2 linked regions of the Diceros bicornis minor genome follow. The protein of the gene in region 1 interacts with the protein of each later gene in a pairwise test. Links are inferred from orthologs where the notes say so. Each region holds a gene or a part of one and is shown on either strand. Other genes may lie near its edges.

The links. The genes of interacting proteins can lie anywhere in the genome.
Region 2: the proteins of HSD17B14 (region 1) and SREK1IP1 interact in binary tests that used the Homo sapiens proteins (3 or more experiments, as listed by UniProt). The two-hybrid records come from large-scale screens. The link is inferred for Diceros bicornis minor from reciprocal best matches to the Homo sapiens genes HSD17B14 and SREK1IP1.

Annotation. Positions count from the first base shown.
Region 1 is NC_080773.1:24,435,746-24,443,583, reverse strand, and holds the start of HSD17B14 (17-beta-hydroxysteroid dehydrogenase 14), read left to right. Parts: upstream 1-4,784; 5' UTR 4,785-4,869; coding exon 4,870-4,957; intron 4,958-5,437; coding exon 5,438-5,476; intron 5,477-5,693; coding exon 5,694-5,776; intron 5,777-6,381; coding exon 6,382-6,448; intron 6,449-7,838. Other genes in the region: PLEKHA4 (pleckstrin homology domain-containing family A member 4), read left to right, coding at 2,124-2,285, 3,198-3,256, 3,678-3,790, 4,099-4,361. UniProt on the Homo sapiens protein: Catalyzes the NAD(+)-dependent oxidation of L-fucose, yielding L-fucono-1,5-lactone, which rapidly converts spontaneously to L-fucone-1,4-lactone. Can also act on D-arabinose and L-galactose, with lower catalytic efficiency. Does not use NADPH.
Region 2 is NC_080759.1:12,124,609-12,131,747, forward strand, and holds the start of SREK1IP1 (protein SREK1IP1), read left to right. Parts: upstream 1-4,123; 5' UTR 4,124-4,270; coding exon 4,271-4,283; intron 4,284-7,139. Other genes in the region: spliceosome-associated protein CWC27 homolog, read right to left, coding at 3,604-3,645. UniProt on the Homo sapiens protein: Possible splicing regulator involved in the control of cellular survival.

The DNA.
Region 1 (7,838 bases):
TCAAGATTGGCCAAATTAGAGTAAACCAGAGTAATCTGCTGGGATTGGACCTACAATGAGCAGCTGATCCAAGCTGGCTCCATAGAATTTTCTAGTTGGAGACTGCAGCTAAGAGTTCTCTTCCCTCTGATTTTTTTTTTTTTTTTTTGCTTAATCAACAAATTTATTGTCTTTCGAAGTTCCATAGGCTAGAAATCCAAAACCAAAGTGTCGGCAGCGGCATGCTCCTTCTGAAGGCTCTAGGGAAGGATCTGTTCCAGGCTTCTGGTATTCCCTTGACTAGTGGAAGCATAACTCCATTCGTCATGTGGTGTCCTCCCTGTGTACATGTCTGTGTCCAAATTGCCCCCTTTCCTGAAGGATAACAGATGTGTGCAGCCAGATAGCCCTATCGGCCCGTTTCCTGCCTGTAGCATCCTAGAAATCTGACAGCCTTCCTTCATTTCGTCCCCTGTCTGTCCCCTTCAGTTCAAGCTGGCAGCATTTCTGCTGAGATGATTTATAGGATCCACATGTCACATGCCTAATCTCTTAGCAAACAGGTTGTCCAGCCACACCCTTGGCGTTCTTTCCAGAGCATTCTCTCTCATTTTTTGCAATCTGGATAGGCTGAGAATTTTCCAAATCTTCAAGTTCTGGTTTCCTTTTGGTGAACGATATTTTCTTTGATTTATCTTTGTCCTCCTTCGTTTTAAGTGCTTAAGGCTAGAAGTCCATGATCTGGGTGTCAGCAGGGCCATACTCCCTCTGAAGGTGCCAGGGAAGGATCTGTTCTGGGCCTTTCTCCTGGCTTCCGGTAGTTCCCTGGCTTGTGGCAGCAAAGCTCCAATTGTCACAGGGTGTTCCTCCTGGGTGTGTCTTCTCTCGGGTTTTGAGGGCAAGACAGAGCTCATCAAGTCCTCTCTCAGGCCAACCCAAACTGATCCTCTCAACAGTTTAGTTACTACATCTCATTCCTCCTTTTGTTGTTAAAATTGTCTTTCATCACACGTGTGGGGGAAGGAGAACTATTCCTCTACCCTCTAGGTCCTTCTGGCTCATCTAAGAATTAAACTGATGTGAGACAGAATAACAGGAGAAAACCAAACAAAGTTTAATAACATGAATACGTGGCAGAAACCCAGGAAAACTGAGTAACTTGCCAAAATGAGGGAACCACTACCTTAAATACCATTTTCAGCTAAGGACAAAGGAGGATGTTGGGGGTAGTGGTTTGGGACCTCAAAGGGGAAGAAGGCAATTTACATGGAGATGGAAAGGCAAATGTTTGGTAAACAAATGTTTGCTGGGCCATCTATAGACAATGAGACCCAAGGGAGAGAACTTTGATAAAAATGGGCTTAGCAAGGACCCTCCCAGTCTACCATACCCAGAGTTATCTGTGGTCGTGGCCTGTCCTGGGACAGGCCTTCCTTTTTTAGGCAGTTAGGGGAAAGTCATAGTTTCGTTTTGAGTCTTTTTTTATTAAAAAATAATCAAGCCAGCGGGTAGAGTTTGAGTTTGAGCGCTCTGCTTTGGTGGCCTGGGTTTTGCAGGTTTGGATCCCTGGGGGCAGACCTACGCGGCTTGTCAAGCCATGCTGTGGCAGCGTCCCATATAAAGTAGAGGAGGATGGGCACAGATGTTAGCCCAGGGCCAATCTTCCTCAGCAAAAACAAAAAAACAAAAAAAGAGGAGGATTGGCAACAGATGTTAGCTCAGGGCTAATCTTCCTCAAAAAAAAAAAATAATCAAGCCAAAGAGACACATTTTGGCATCGCAAATTCTGATCCCCAACACAAGCAACCCAGGGTCCTGACTACTAGTGTGAAGAAGCTTCATATATCTAGGGGAGTGTGGGTGTTTGTTAGGCTGGGGCTTTGGGTTCAAATAGGGTGGCTGATGGGGTTGAGGCCTGAGAGGTGGGTAGGGAATAGGCCACACAGGACCTCAAACACCGTAGTCCTGAGGGTGCTTGATGGCCGTAAGAGGATGAGAGCAGCATAATTCTGGGTGCAGAAAGATTCCTCTGAGGTCCAGTGGAGAACTTTCTAGAGAGGGCAAGACTGGAGACAGAGAGGTTCAGGGAAGAGATAACGTGGAGGCCCAAGGTTGGGGTCTCGAGGTGTTTCTCATCTCCCCAGGCTCCCGTGCCCCGGCCGCGGATGAGTGCTCAGGAGCAGTTGGAGAGGATACGCAGAAACCAGGAGTGTGGACGGCCGCTCCCTCGCCCGGCTTCCCCTCGGCTCCTCACCCTGAGGAGGACACTGTCCCCAGCCAGACGCCAGCCTGACACGGAACAAAGGGTGAGGGGAACTAGGGGTGCGAGGTGGGGCGATGGGGTGGTAGCGGGTCTTCTGCTCCTAGTTAGAGCCTCAGTTTCCCTCTCTGTAAAATGGGGATGTTCCCTACTTCCTTACCCAGAACTGGGTTTCCAGATTTGCCCCAACTTTTACTTGAGCTGAAATCAGCACTCTGGCTCCCCTAGCCGTGGGGAATGGAAGTGGGGTGTGGTAGGGGGTGGGGCAGAGACAACATCTCCACCTCATCAGCATTCTCCCTTCAGCGTGGAGGTCATAGGTCTGGACTGGAAGCCCAGTGTTATCAAAGGCAAAAATAATTTTTTTTGAGCAAGTAAGGAAATCGATTTTATTCATGCTATTGCAGTGGGGGAGAGCACCCCAGATCTTAAGATCAGAGTGTCTTGGTGGGATGGTTTCATCTTAGACTTTTCTAGGAAGGAATTAGACAAATCATAGGTGGGGTGATTCAAGATTGGGATTGTTTTTGTAATCGGGGGGCGTCTCTGTCAGCTGAACACCAACCGTTTATCTCTGTGTCTACCTAGTTTTGGGGAGACAAACAGTTCAGCTAATCATTTGTGAGGTAGAGAATGTGAGTTTGGAGGGCCTGTTTCTGGCCTTGTCATAGGTAAACAAGGGGTGCGGGGTGTCATCTGAGTCTTATCTAAGACATATGGAGAAGAAGGGTTCTTGTAGTAAGCCGTTTCCCAGAACACACAAGCTTGCGTGTGTGTTGGGGAGTGGAGGGGTGGGGCGGGATCTTAACCTGTTTTCCAGGAGCGCATGTAAAGTTACACATTGTCAGTGTCTCCGGGGGCAATTTTATCCCCTCTCTGAGCCCCCTTCATTTCACCCTCAAAATGAGAACGTGGGGACTTCCAAGTGAGGAATTCTAATGCCCCAATTCCTTTGCAGCCTGTCCCAGGACACTCAGGAGCCCCGAAATGGCTCAGAAGCTCCGGGTCCTGGAGCAGGTAGGGAACAGGAGGGCGCGGCCAGGAGCAGGGAAATCCATTTGCCAAAGGGGAAGGGAATAGTAGCACTATTATTAATGTCTCCTGAGTACTGAAGTGCAGGTCGCAGAACCTGTTGGAGACGCTTGAGTTCCTGGGCCATCAGAAAGCCCTAGATCCGCAGTGAGAACTGCAGTTTCCAAAACTGCAAAACTGGGTAGATATCACACTCCGCTCCTCCGTCTGGAAAACCGGTGAAGTCTAAGAGCGACTGGACTACAAATCCCATAATGCACGCGTGCTTTTTATGAGGGCCGCGCCATGTTTAAAGACCTTTAGAGACACGTGCTAGGGACTACAACTCCCAGAAGGACACGCGCAGCACGGAGGTCCTCTCTGTACTGGATAATTGTATACGTCCCCCAAATCTCTTTTTTTCTAGTCCAAGGAACACCACCCCTTATTTGCCAACATCCGAAGGTCACCGGGAGCGAGTCCTCAGCCTCTCTCAAGCCCTGGCTACTGAGGCATCGCAGTGGCACAGAATGATGATAGGTGAGGAGGGGCTGGGGACTTTGGGCTCCTGGGTTTTAGAGAAGAGGGAGCCAGAGGCCTGGAATCCTAGGTCCTGGTGGGGAGGGGTCTGAGGGCGGCTGGGAATCCTTTGTCTTGATGAGGAAAGAGCTAGACGGGGCTTGGAAATTCTAGATCCCAGGCGGGAGGAGATCGGGATCTAGGGCTACTGGGTCTGGAGGAGGGTACTGAGAGGTCGGGACTCCTGGGTCTGAAGGAGGAAAAGTCTGGGGGTCTGGACTCCCGAATCCCAAGGTTTGCCATTCTCATTCCCCAATCGTCCTCTCCAGGGGGAAATTTGGACTCCCGAGGAGACCCTGTTCCCCCTGCGCCGCCGCCTCCGTCAGACCCCACGCCCCAGGTGTCCTCGGCCCCAAGATCTCCTCCACTGGCCAATTCCCGCTCCACCGGGTTCTCCCGCCGAGGTAGTGGGCGCGGCGCAGGCCCCGCCTCCTGGGAGTCCTCGTGGGATCCTGGGGCCGCCCCTCCCGCCCTGACGCAAGATGAGGGGGCGTGGCCTCTGCGAGTTACTCTGCTGCAGTCCAGCTTCTGACACGCCCAAACGCGGCAGCCAATCGGAGCGTGGGGGCGTGGCCTGGATGTACCGCCCCGAGATCTGGAGCCACTCAGGGCACCGGGGGGCGTGATCTAGTCCCCTCCGGTGGCCTGCCGGCGAGTGGTTTCGGTGGCCAGAGTTTGGTTTTCCCAACACTTGTCCAAATTCGGATTAAAACTTTGAACTTTTAGTCAATAGCTTTCTTTGTGTCTGTTGTGGGGTCTCTGAGGGGCGGAGCTGGAGTCTGGACTCCTGGGTCCCGAGGGAGGAAGGGACAGGGACCTCAGACTTGTAGATCTGAGGAAGGAGGGGCTGGAGACCTAGATTCCCGGGTCTGAGGGAGGAGGGGCTGGGGCCAAACTTCCAGGCTTCTGGTCTTTCTGGCAACGCCCCCCAGGGCCGGGCTTCCAGGATCCAGCCTCTATTTATGGTTCGGCCTCCCGGGACTTGGGAGGTGGAAAGAGGGGCAGAGTGAGTGACAGTGGGAGACACGGACTGAGGCAGAATGGCCACGGGAACGCGCTATGCCGGGAAGGTGGTCGTTGTAACCGGGGGCGGGCGCGGCATCGGAGCCGGGATCGTGCGATCGTTCGGTGAGAGGGGTCTGGCTGCTCGAAATATTGGAGTCTGGGAGAGGAGGGACCCCGTGGGCTAATGGATGTGGGAAGAAGGGTCTTCAGTACCGGAGTCAAGATTCTTATCGTATAAAAGCCAATTGTAATGCTAACGAAGGGATTGGCAGGGGTAGCCTAGGGCCTGAGGTCTTGGCGTGTCACCCAAACGCTGTTACTTCCTTTCTGAGTTTCAGTTATAGCTACAAAAGGGGTGAATGGCTCTTGCAGGTTTAGAATTTGCTCTGGATCCCAGGGGTGGGGGCTCGGGAGCCGCAGCAGGCACCTGGAGCAGCCAAGAAGAATATGTGTCAAGGCCTCTGCCCTTTGACCTAGGGGATCATCACGAGACTTTGGGGTCAGAGGGAGCAGGGAGGGAGATAGTCCCCACTCCAGGTGGCCACAAGAGGGCAGCAGAGGCTTCGCCAAGGTCTGTGCTGGGGTAACCTGTTCTGTTCTCAGTGCAAAGCGGGGCCCAAGTGATTATCTGCGACAAAGATGGTAAGTGTTGGTCCCTCACCCCCAGCCCCTCCTCCCCGAGACCCGGGAGTCCGGACCCCTAGCCCCTTCTCCCCCAGCACCGGGAGTCCGGGCCCCTCAGACCCAGGAGTCGGGGAGGCCCCCAACTCCCTCTTCCCCCAGACCCGGGAGTCCGGGCCCCCAGCCCCCTCCTTCCGATCTGGGAGTCCGGACCCCCAGCCCTTCTCTCTCTCTGCAGAGTCTGGGGGCCGGGCCCTGGAGCGGGAGCTTCCTGGAACTGTCTTTCTCCTCTGTGACGTGACTCAGGAGGAAGACATAAGGGTGAGTATTTTTCGGTCCCTACTCCGGATCTCCAGCAGTTTCTCTCTCTCTCTCTCTCTCTCTCTCTCTCTCTCTCTCTCTCTCTCTCTCTCTCTCTCTCTCTCTCTCTCGTTTCTCTTCTAGGCTTTTGCACATGCTGTTCCCTCTACCTTTCCCTCTTCTCCTGGCTAAATTGTACTGGGACCAGCTCAGTATTGTTTCAAGGCTCTCCTTGATTCTGCTGGCCAGGTCCTGTGTCTCCTGGGAAAGTTCTCCTTTATCTCCTACTTCTTCAAGACTCTTGCCACTCTGTCGTGAGGATTAGAACAAAAAAATCTATCACAGCGGGTCTCCTCCTGTAAGAGTTTTCCCTCGCCCATCTCAGGGTTTCTGTCCCTTCCCTTCAATCAGTGTCGATCTAGTATCTAGCCCCCACCTTCCCCGGCTCCCTGTCTCCTCTTCTCCTGCCATGCCTGGTGATTTGTGGGGAGGGTCCCTCACTTCCTCCAGCTCCTGTTCCCTCAACTGTGACTCCAGCGTCCACCTCCACGCCTTGCTTTTGGGCGCCCGGGCTCCCCAAGGCCCGGGGCCAACACTGCTCCCTCACGACCCGTCTTTCTCCTCAGACCCTCATCTCTGAGACCATCCGCCGTTTTGGCCGCTTGGATTGTGTGGTCAACAACGCCGGCTACCGTGAGTTGTGAAGCCTGAGGGCCCTTCCCACTGAGGTCCACACGCCTCCTGGCTTCCCCCGCCTTCCTCCCTTGCCTCAGTTTCCCTGTCTCTGCCCCCTCCCCCTCTGTCCCCTTAGACAGGACAGGACTGCTATGGAATCCTCCATGCCTGGGCTTAAATCCCGGCTCTGTCCGTTCCCTGCTGTGTGCCCCCAGACCTGTGCCCTCACCTCACTGTGCCTCAGTTTCTGCATCTTTAAAATGGGAATGACCATGATCATCATATAGGGTTGTTGTGGATACTGAATAAGGGAAACTACTCAGCATTGTCAACACAAATAATCAATAATCAATCTATAAATCAAGATTGGGGTGAGTTGATTACATGAGCTAATCTGAGGACCATATAGCCTGGGAGGAAACCTTCCCCAAGGAAGGAAGCCCTCCGAAGCATCGGGGTGTACAGTGTAGTTATATACTGACTTGGAACAAGGAACAGACGCCACGTATAACAGGAATATCTCTTTTACTACAGTCACGAGATGTTTTGCTAGCATGGCAGGTCCCTGTGACCTTAGTTTCTGGAAGGAAATACTTATCTTTAAAGAAATGCTGATGTGGGGGGAGGCCTACATCCCTATCTTTAAAGGCAGCGTTCTTTGCTTGGGACGTTGTAAACGTTTAAAACAGATGCACAATGCATGTTCGACAGGGCACACCAGACCATTCTGGAAAAACAAAGTCAGGCCGAATTAGTTTTAAACCAAATGGCTTCCTCATATCCCTCAATATGTATGTACTTTCCGTATTGCTTTTCATTTATTCATCAGCTGCATAATTATCGTACAATCTCGGGCAAACAGCTTCCATCTTGTAGCCTCACTTTGCTTATCTGTGAAGCGAGGCCATGGCCCTTCTCTTTGCCGATGGCTGTGAAGATGTCCTCACGGTGCATGGTTTATAGGGCTTGGTGTGGTGGCTTCCAGGGGAAATTGCCATCAGCTTGATGACGGCCCTTCATAAGAATGTCTCATGGTGGTGAACTGAGGCTCAGAGAGGTGAACTGATTGCATGGAGGTCACACAGCAAGGCCGTGGTAGAAAGAAGCCTGCTTTGTTGGCTGGGCAACTTTGAGCAAGTGGCTCACCCTCTCTGGGCTGCATGTTTTAAAAAATTATTTTATTGGGGTGGCCCCGTGGCTTAGCAGTTAAGTGCGCGCGCTCTGCTACTGGCGGCCCCAGTTCAGATCCCGGGCGCGCACAGACGCACCGCTTCTCCGGCCATGCTGAGGCCACGTCCCACATACAGCAACTAGAAGGATGTGCAACTATGACATACAACTATCTACTGGGGCTTTGGGGGAAAAAATAAATAAAATAAAATAAAATTTAAAAATAAAAAAGACCAAG
Region 2 (7,139 bases), on another chromosome or scaffold:
TTAAAGGATTACATAAAAACACTATTTTAAAATAATTCTATTTTCTTTACTAACAGTACAATGAACTTTTTTTATAACAGCTTTATTGAGATATAATTCACATACCAAACAATTTACCCTTTTAAAGTGGTTTTTAATATAATCCAGAGAGTTATGTAACCACCACCACCATCTAATTCCAGAACATTTCATCATCCCAAAAAGAAACCCTGTACCTATTGGCAGCCACTCCCTATTTCCTCCTACTCTTATTCCCTGGCAACCACTAATCTACTTTCTGTCTCTATGGATTTGCCCACTGAACATTTCATAAAAATGAAATCATACAACGTGTAGCCTTTTGTGGCTGGCTTCTTTCACTTAGCATAATGTTGCTTTCAAATTGTAGTGGTCCATCTTCCTGTTCTATACACTTAGTTTCTAAATGTCTTGAAAATCACAATGGCTTTATATTCTTACTGATAAATATGTTAAAGCACAATATACATTTAAGACAATGTTCACCATTAACAATAATAAATAGAAATCCATATTTCAAAAGATTTACATAACAATTTCTAATTTTTGACAGACTTCTCATGCTGAGGCATTAGCTCTACCATTTTCTTATGGTTTGCTTTTATTTACATTATTATCTTCAATACGAAACTTGTGAGGGCTGGTTTAGTTAATCTAGATACCAAGAAATGTAAATCCACTTAGCAAAGAATTAGGAAAAAATACTTCATGATATATAAAAAGTGATTGAACGAGTAACTGAATTTATATGTTCCTTTTTACGTATAAAATATTGCATTTAAACAAATAAAGGAGAAAATAAATACAAACAGAAGTAACTGAATTTATATGTTCCTTTTTACGTATAAAATATTGCACTTAAACAAATAAAGGAGAAAATAAATACAAACAGAAGTAAGTAGATTTTCTGCCTGCACTCCATGGATGGTTTTGCAGCCCTCTTAAGTGTGCACTCACTCATTTAGAAACCACTGTCCTAAAGAACAATCTACTGCACATCAGCCCTCCCTCTTCAGATTCTGGAGTCAGGCTGCCCAAAATCAAATACTGACCATTCCACTTACGAAGGTAAGATTAGCTTCGTTACCTTGGGTGTGATATCTAACATTTCTGTGACTCAACTTCCTTATCTAAAAACAGGCATAAGCATATTCTCATAGGTTTGTTGCAAGGCCAAAATGAGTTATTATATATATGTAGACCACTTAGAACAGTACCTGACAAATAGGAAATGCTCAAAAAATGGTAGCTAGTATTGTTGTAATTATTATTCTCATACAATGTTTTTGGCCACAGCAAACTTACATCCAGTAAAAAGAATGCATACATGGTTGGGCCACCTTGTTTACCAGGGTTTCTTAATCTTTCCACCAAGAAGCTACTGAATTAAAAAAGAAGGCACACAGCTCCCTCCTTTCACCATCACTACTTTGTCAGGCGTCGGTGGCTCCTTTTCTTAGAGCTCCCAAATAAGACAATACTTTGATAATAAAATGCTTCTTAAGAATAAACACATGTTAATATATAATTTAGATTAAATGATCATAATATGTGGAGATTTCATCTCCAGTGGATAAGGAAATTTCTATCAAGTGGTATATTTCTGTGCCTCATCTTCAGAGGCCAGAGTTATAGCATTACAGCAAAACACAGCACATTTATGGACAATTGCCAGGGGTCAACCACTGGTATAATACGTCAATTACTTCCCAAGTTGACACTATACTCTTTGAAGGGAGGAATTTTGTCCCATTTATTCTGAATATCTCTGTATCCTTTCAGTACCTAACGTAGCATTAGACACCACAGGTACTAAACTAACATTCATTGAGCAAGCTTATTATATCTGTATTAAATTCATTCCAGGCCAAAATTCTTGCCATACTCTCTATAGTACAGAACTTTGAAGCTTCAATGTCTTCAATCACCCCTCAGCTGGAAAAAAGTCCCAAACTGTGCTTGAAGGAAAATTTGGCCTATGTTCTCCTTCAGCCCAATTCTGTTTAGAAGAAAGACTGTATTGATCACAGTTTGCACAGACTTATTTGCATGATTATTCGGTCAATGTATACTTCACTCAACTGACTCCATGATAATAGAGACAATGCTGGTTTTTCTTTCCATTGTATCCCTAAAACCTAGCATAGATCCACATGAGCTAGGCGCTCAATAAATACTTGTTGAATGAAAGATCTCCTGTTCAGGCATGTATCTTTGTTAAAGCTTTTTATCTTTATGACCACCTCAAATCTTCCTCCAGAGTAAAGCAACTAAGTCTGCCCTTGACCAGCAGCAGTATAACCCCAAAGTCACTGATGTTTAATACTTCTCAAAAGTTAAGAGAAACATAGTATTAATTCATCCATTCATCCATTCATCCAGTACATATCTGAACTCCTTCTACTATGTATCAAGCACCCTTCTAGATGCTGGTCTCTGCCCTCACAGTACTTGCATTTTATGGGGGCAGGTGGAGGAGACAATAAACAATCAATAATAAGTACTGCAGAAAAAAACTAAAAGGGTTTAGGGAGCCAGGGAATGCTGGGATGCAGGAGATGAATGAGGTTTGCTATTTCATAGAAAGTAGATAGAAAAGGCCAGGGCCGGCCCCATGGCTTAGCAGTTAAGTGCGTGAGCTCTGCTGCTGGCAGCCGGAGTTTGGATCCGGGCGCGCGCCGCTTGTCAGGCCATGCTGCGAAGGCATCCCACATAAAGTGGAGGAAGATGGGCACGGATGTTAGCTCAGGGCCAGTCTTCCTCAGCAAAAAGCAGAGGATTGGCATGGATGTTAGCTCAGGGCTGATCTTCCTCACAAAAAAAAAAAAAAAAAGAATTCAGGTGATATTCCTTCCACTACTTAGTTCTCTGCCTCATACTGCATATAAAACACCTGGGATGGGAATTGACATAGCTTGACTGTCAAATCAATCAGGAAATCATTCTAATGTGGGAACATTTCCCATTCCCCATTTTCTCTAACAATCATCTCATGTTTTAAGACCAGCTCAAAAGATACCTCCTCCATGAAGTTTTCCCTACTTTCCCAGCTGCTCACTTCTCCGTAATAGCACAGCAATGTGCTCCTCTCTCCATAAGCACACCTACCAGACATATCCTAAGGCTTTTCTTTACCTGCCTGCCTCCCAACTAAACCATAAGCTCTTCTAGGGCAACAACTAGACCTTATCCATCTATATTTGTATCCCCAGAACCTAATAAGTGCCCGGTGCCTAGCTGGCGTTCAATAAACGGAGAAAGAGCCATCTCTAAGTTATGCGAAAAATGTCAAATTTTAATTTGTACTTAGGTTTTTACCTAAGACTCTAGAAAACACCTGCATGAGTTAGGTTAAAGCAAGAAATAGGGCCAGAAGGCTGGTAGATGGAGAAATCAATCTTCCCTTGAGGACTTTTTCAAGTATATGCTGAGAAGTGCCAATAGATGGTTTCCAGGCAATCCTGTTCAGAGGCAGGGGTAAAAACAAGACTTCTTGTGATCTCTCACAACCCTAAGATCCCAGGACTCCCTTCGTCAGTGAGGTATCACTTTGGGGAGCCCAGGTATCCCAGACGAGGCTCTCACCTTCCCGTTGGTGGGAGGCTCCTGGATGTAGATGTTGCTCATGCTGGTCAGTCCTCAAGACTCTGCTCTCAATTGGGGATGAGAGCGGACGGCCGATCACTAAAGCTGTCCACCTATTAGTACAGGCTTCCTTAAGTCGGGTGGTCGCGGAAAGCTCCAGTCTGTCAATATCCTGCAAGACAGCGACGCCAAACGCTATCTTTTCCCTAAGCTAGCTCCTCACGGGCGCCGCCATGTTGTTCCCGGACCCGAGCACCGCTAACCCTGAGAAGGGGGATTCTGATAGCCTCCAAGAAAGGAGAAAAGATTATTAAGCCGCTGTAGATTAATTTAATTTCTATTACAATTTTAAAAAGAACGATCCGTTAAGTCTTGGTGTTGTTTACTTCACTACATGCGTGTGCAGGTCTCATTCACCTCCCGAAGCTGGCAGTAATGGTTCGGACCGTGAGTGAGCTGCAATATGCGTCCCCCGGAAGCTGGATCAGTGGTTACTTGGTTCCGCTATCGCCAGAGAATTATAGGGGCCCCCCCCCGAACTGTCATCTAGGAGCCGCGGCGCGGGTGGGAGGAAGAGGCCGCCCTAGCTGTGCGTTGTCCTCACGGCCGGCGGGAAGCGAGCGCGCTCTCGAAATCCTAGGGCTCCTGCGACCCCTTTCACAGCGCCATGGCAGTCCCAGGTGACGAGCAACGGCAGGCCCCGGGGTCTGGGCGAGGAAGGGAGAGGGCAGGGTAGGTTGGGGCGCGCTGGACCAGGGAGTGGCGCCCATGGGGATTTAAGCGGAGGCGTTAAAATTAACAGGTTCGTGTGGTTTACGTGAAAAAGTTTACACTCCGGAAATAAACGCGGAAGGAAAGAAAGAAACGATCTCCCCTGCGCCAGCCAAGCTCCAGTTGCGCTGGATGGCTTACGGGGCCGGTGCGTCGTGGCGGAGGGAGGGTGGCATGGGGAGGAGAGGGGGACGGTAACCGTAGGCCCAGGGGCCGGTGGCTGAGAAAGACCGACCCCAGCGGCCAGAGGCATTGTTTGTAGTGCAAGTCGCAGGGACGAGATGGGCGCCTGGGGTTCTTCTCTCTCTGCTTGTTGCATTCAGTTGCTGTGTGGCCGTGGGCCGGTCGCTTTGCCCTTCTTGGCCTCAGTGTCTGCATCTGTAAACGGAGATTTGTTGATTTATGTCTCTGGTTCCTTCCAGCTCTCAGATTCTGGGTCCAGTCGGTACTGACTTAAAAACAGTGAACCCTGCGAAATAAGTGCCTGAGAGATTTCCCGTCCACAGCAACCGGCTTACTTGGAAGTTCTAGAAGGGGAGGGCATCTCCTTAAACCAGCTTTGCCGCGATGTGTTCTGCAGAACACTGGTTGCAGGAGATAGTTTGAGAAATATACACCCCCCTCATTTACTGCCCCCCCAATCTTGTTTTAACCTGCCCTTCCCGGTATTATTTGAGCATGTTTGTTCTGTGGCAGCCTTTTCTGAACCGTATTTTACAGATAGCTGTTATGGGAGGGTTGTGCTTTTCTACCAACTGCAGTTTGGGGAGGAGCACGGGGGTGGGGGGGAATTGTGAGAGAGGAAAGACACACTCATTCATACACATAACAATCTGTGTTAAGTGCCTACTGTGTGCTAGGCATTGGGAATACAGTGGTGAGCAAGACACTTGCTCTTCACAGAGAATTTACAATTTGGCTGTAAGGAGAAAGTACTAGAAAGTCAGACAAGTGTATGGTAGGGAAAATACAAAGCTTTCAGGAGCACATAGTAAGAGCATCTAACAGGAGACAGGGAGTGCACAGAAGGACTTTCCAAAGGATGTGGCATTTAGGATGAGACTTGAAGAATGCAGGAGGGGTGGAGTGGTAGGAGGGGAAGTTGCAGCCAGAGGGACTAGATACATAAAGGAAGAAGAAATGTGTGAGAAGAGGAAATGAAGATGTTCCTATGCATGGAACTCAGAGTACAAATGGGAGAGAAGTGAGACATTAACTAGAGAGATGATAACAGTAGCTAATATTTACTAAACATTTACTATGTGTCAGATCTGTCAGATACTGTGTCATGCATTGTATTTCATCTAGTTTAATATGCACACCCACACTGTGAGATAGATATTAATATTTCCATCTTACAGTGAGGATACTGAGCCTCAGAGAAATCAAGTAACTTGCCTATTGATACAGCTAGTAAGTAACAGATCAGTCTGGCTCCTCTAGACCCCACGTGCTTATCCATTTTGCCCTGTTATAGTGTCATTTACATGGTAGTTTCCAGCTCTTAATGGACCTTGTAAGCCATAACAAAGAGTTTGGTCATTTTCCTAAGGACCAGGGGAAGTCATTTAAGGTTTTTAAACAGATTCACATTTTGGAAAGATCATTCTGGCTGCACAGTAGGTTGGAGGGGAGCTAGTTTGGATGCACAGTCACCAGTTAGGAGTAATTCTGGTAAGTTACAATGATACCTCAGGTACAGTCTTAGGAAGAAAGAAGCAGATAGACTGGAGATATATTTTTGGTGGTAGAATCACTAGGAATCGGTGGTGATGTAGTCAATGTAGGTGAGTACTAGAGGAATGAGGTATTACCTGGGTTTCATTGTTAGGCAATTAGGTGGGGCTATTTACTAACATAGGCAACACCTGAGAAAGAGCAGGTTTCGGCATGATGATGATTTCAGTTTGCGCCTTGTGTTGAGGTATAGTCAGACATACTAATGGAAATATCTAATAGACAATAAGGGATAAAATTTGTAGCTTAGGAAAGAAGCCCGAGTCAAAGAACAATTTGGTGTCATCCACACATATAATAGGAGTTAAGTCCATGGGAGTGGATGCCTTTGCTCAGGTAGAGTGTGTAGAGGGTGAAGGGAAGGTCTGTGGCTGAAGCCTGGAGAATATCAACATGGAAACGGCCAGCAGGGAAAGGCCAGTCTGCACAGTAGATTGCCAGATCAGCCCTGGTGATCTTTGCCTCACACAGCTGCGTCCGAAGTTGACCTGCTGTCACTGTTGGTTTCATGACTTAAGCATTTTGAGCACCTACATGGTATAGGCACTTTCGGGGACACAATGTCATGGTCTGTGCCCTCATAAAACTTGTCTGCTAATGAAAATGTGCTGCTTAAGAAAAAGGACAAAAGTGATTTTTTTGTCCTTATTGAAATTCCCTTAAACTTAGACCAGTGTTATAGTTATGTTAACTTTCTTTCAATTCAAAATAATGCTTCAAAGTATAATAATATTAAATTGTGCCATTAAGCTAGATGGCCAGACATAGATAAACTGTTTAAACCCAGCAAAAATTGAGATAATAGGTATGACAGCGCTGTAAAAGTACAATGCGAGTGCCATTAGAAAATATAGATATGGAAAATATCAAGACAATTTCTTGAGTGATCGATCCAGACAGTGTATTAAAGGAAAATGGGGCTCCATCAGAAACATTTTGAGATAATCATCAAAAAGGACAAGTATTATGTTATGCTCTTTTATTTTTAGGTATAATGCTCATATGGATTCATCATGGCATTTTGTGGG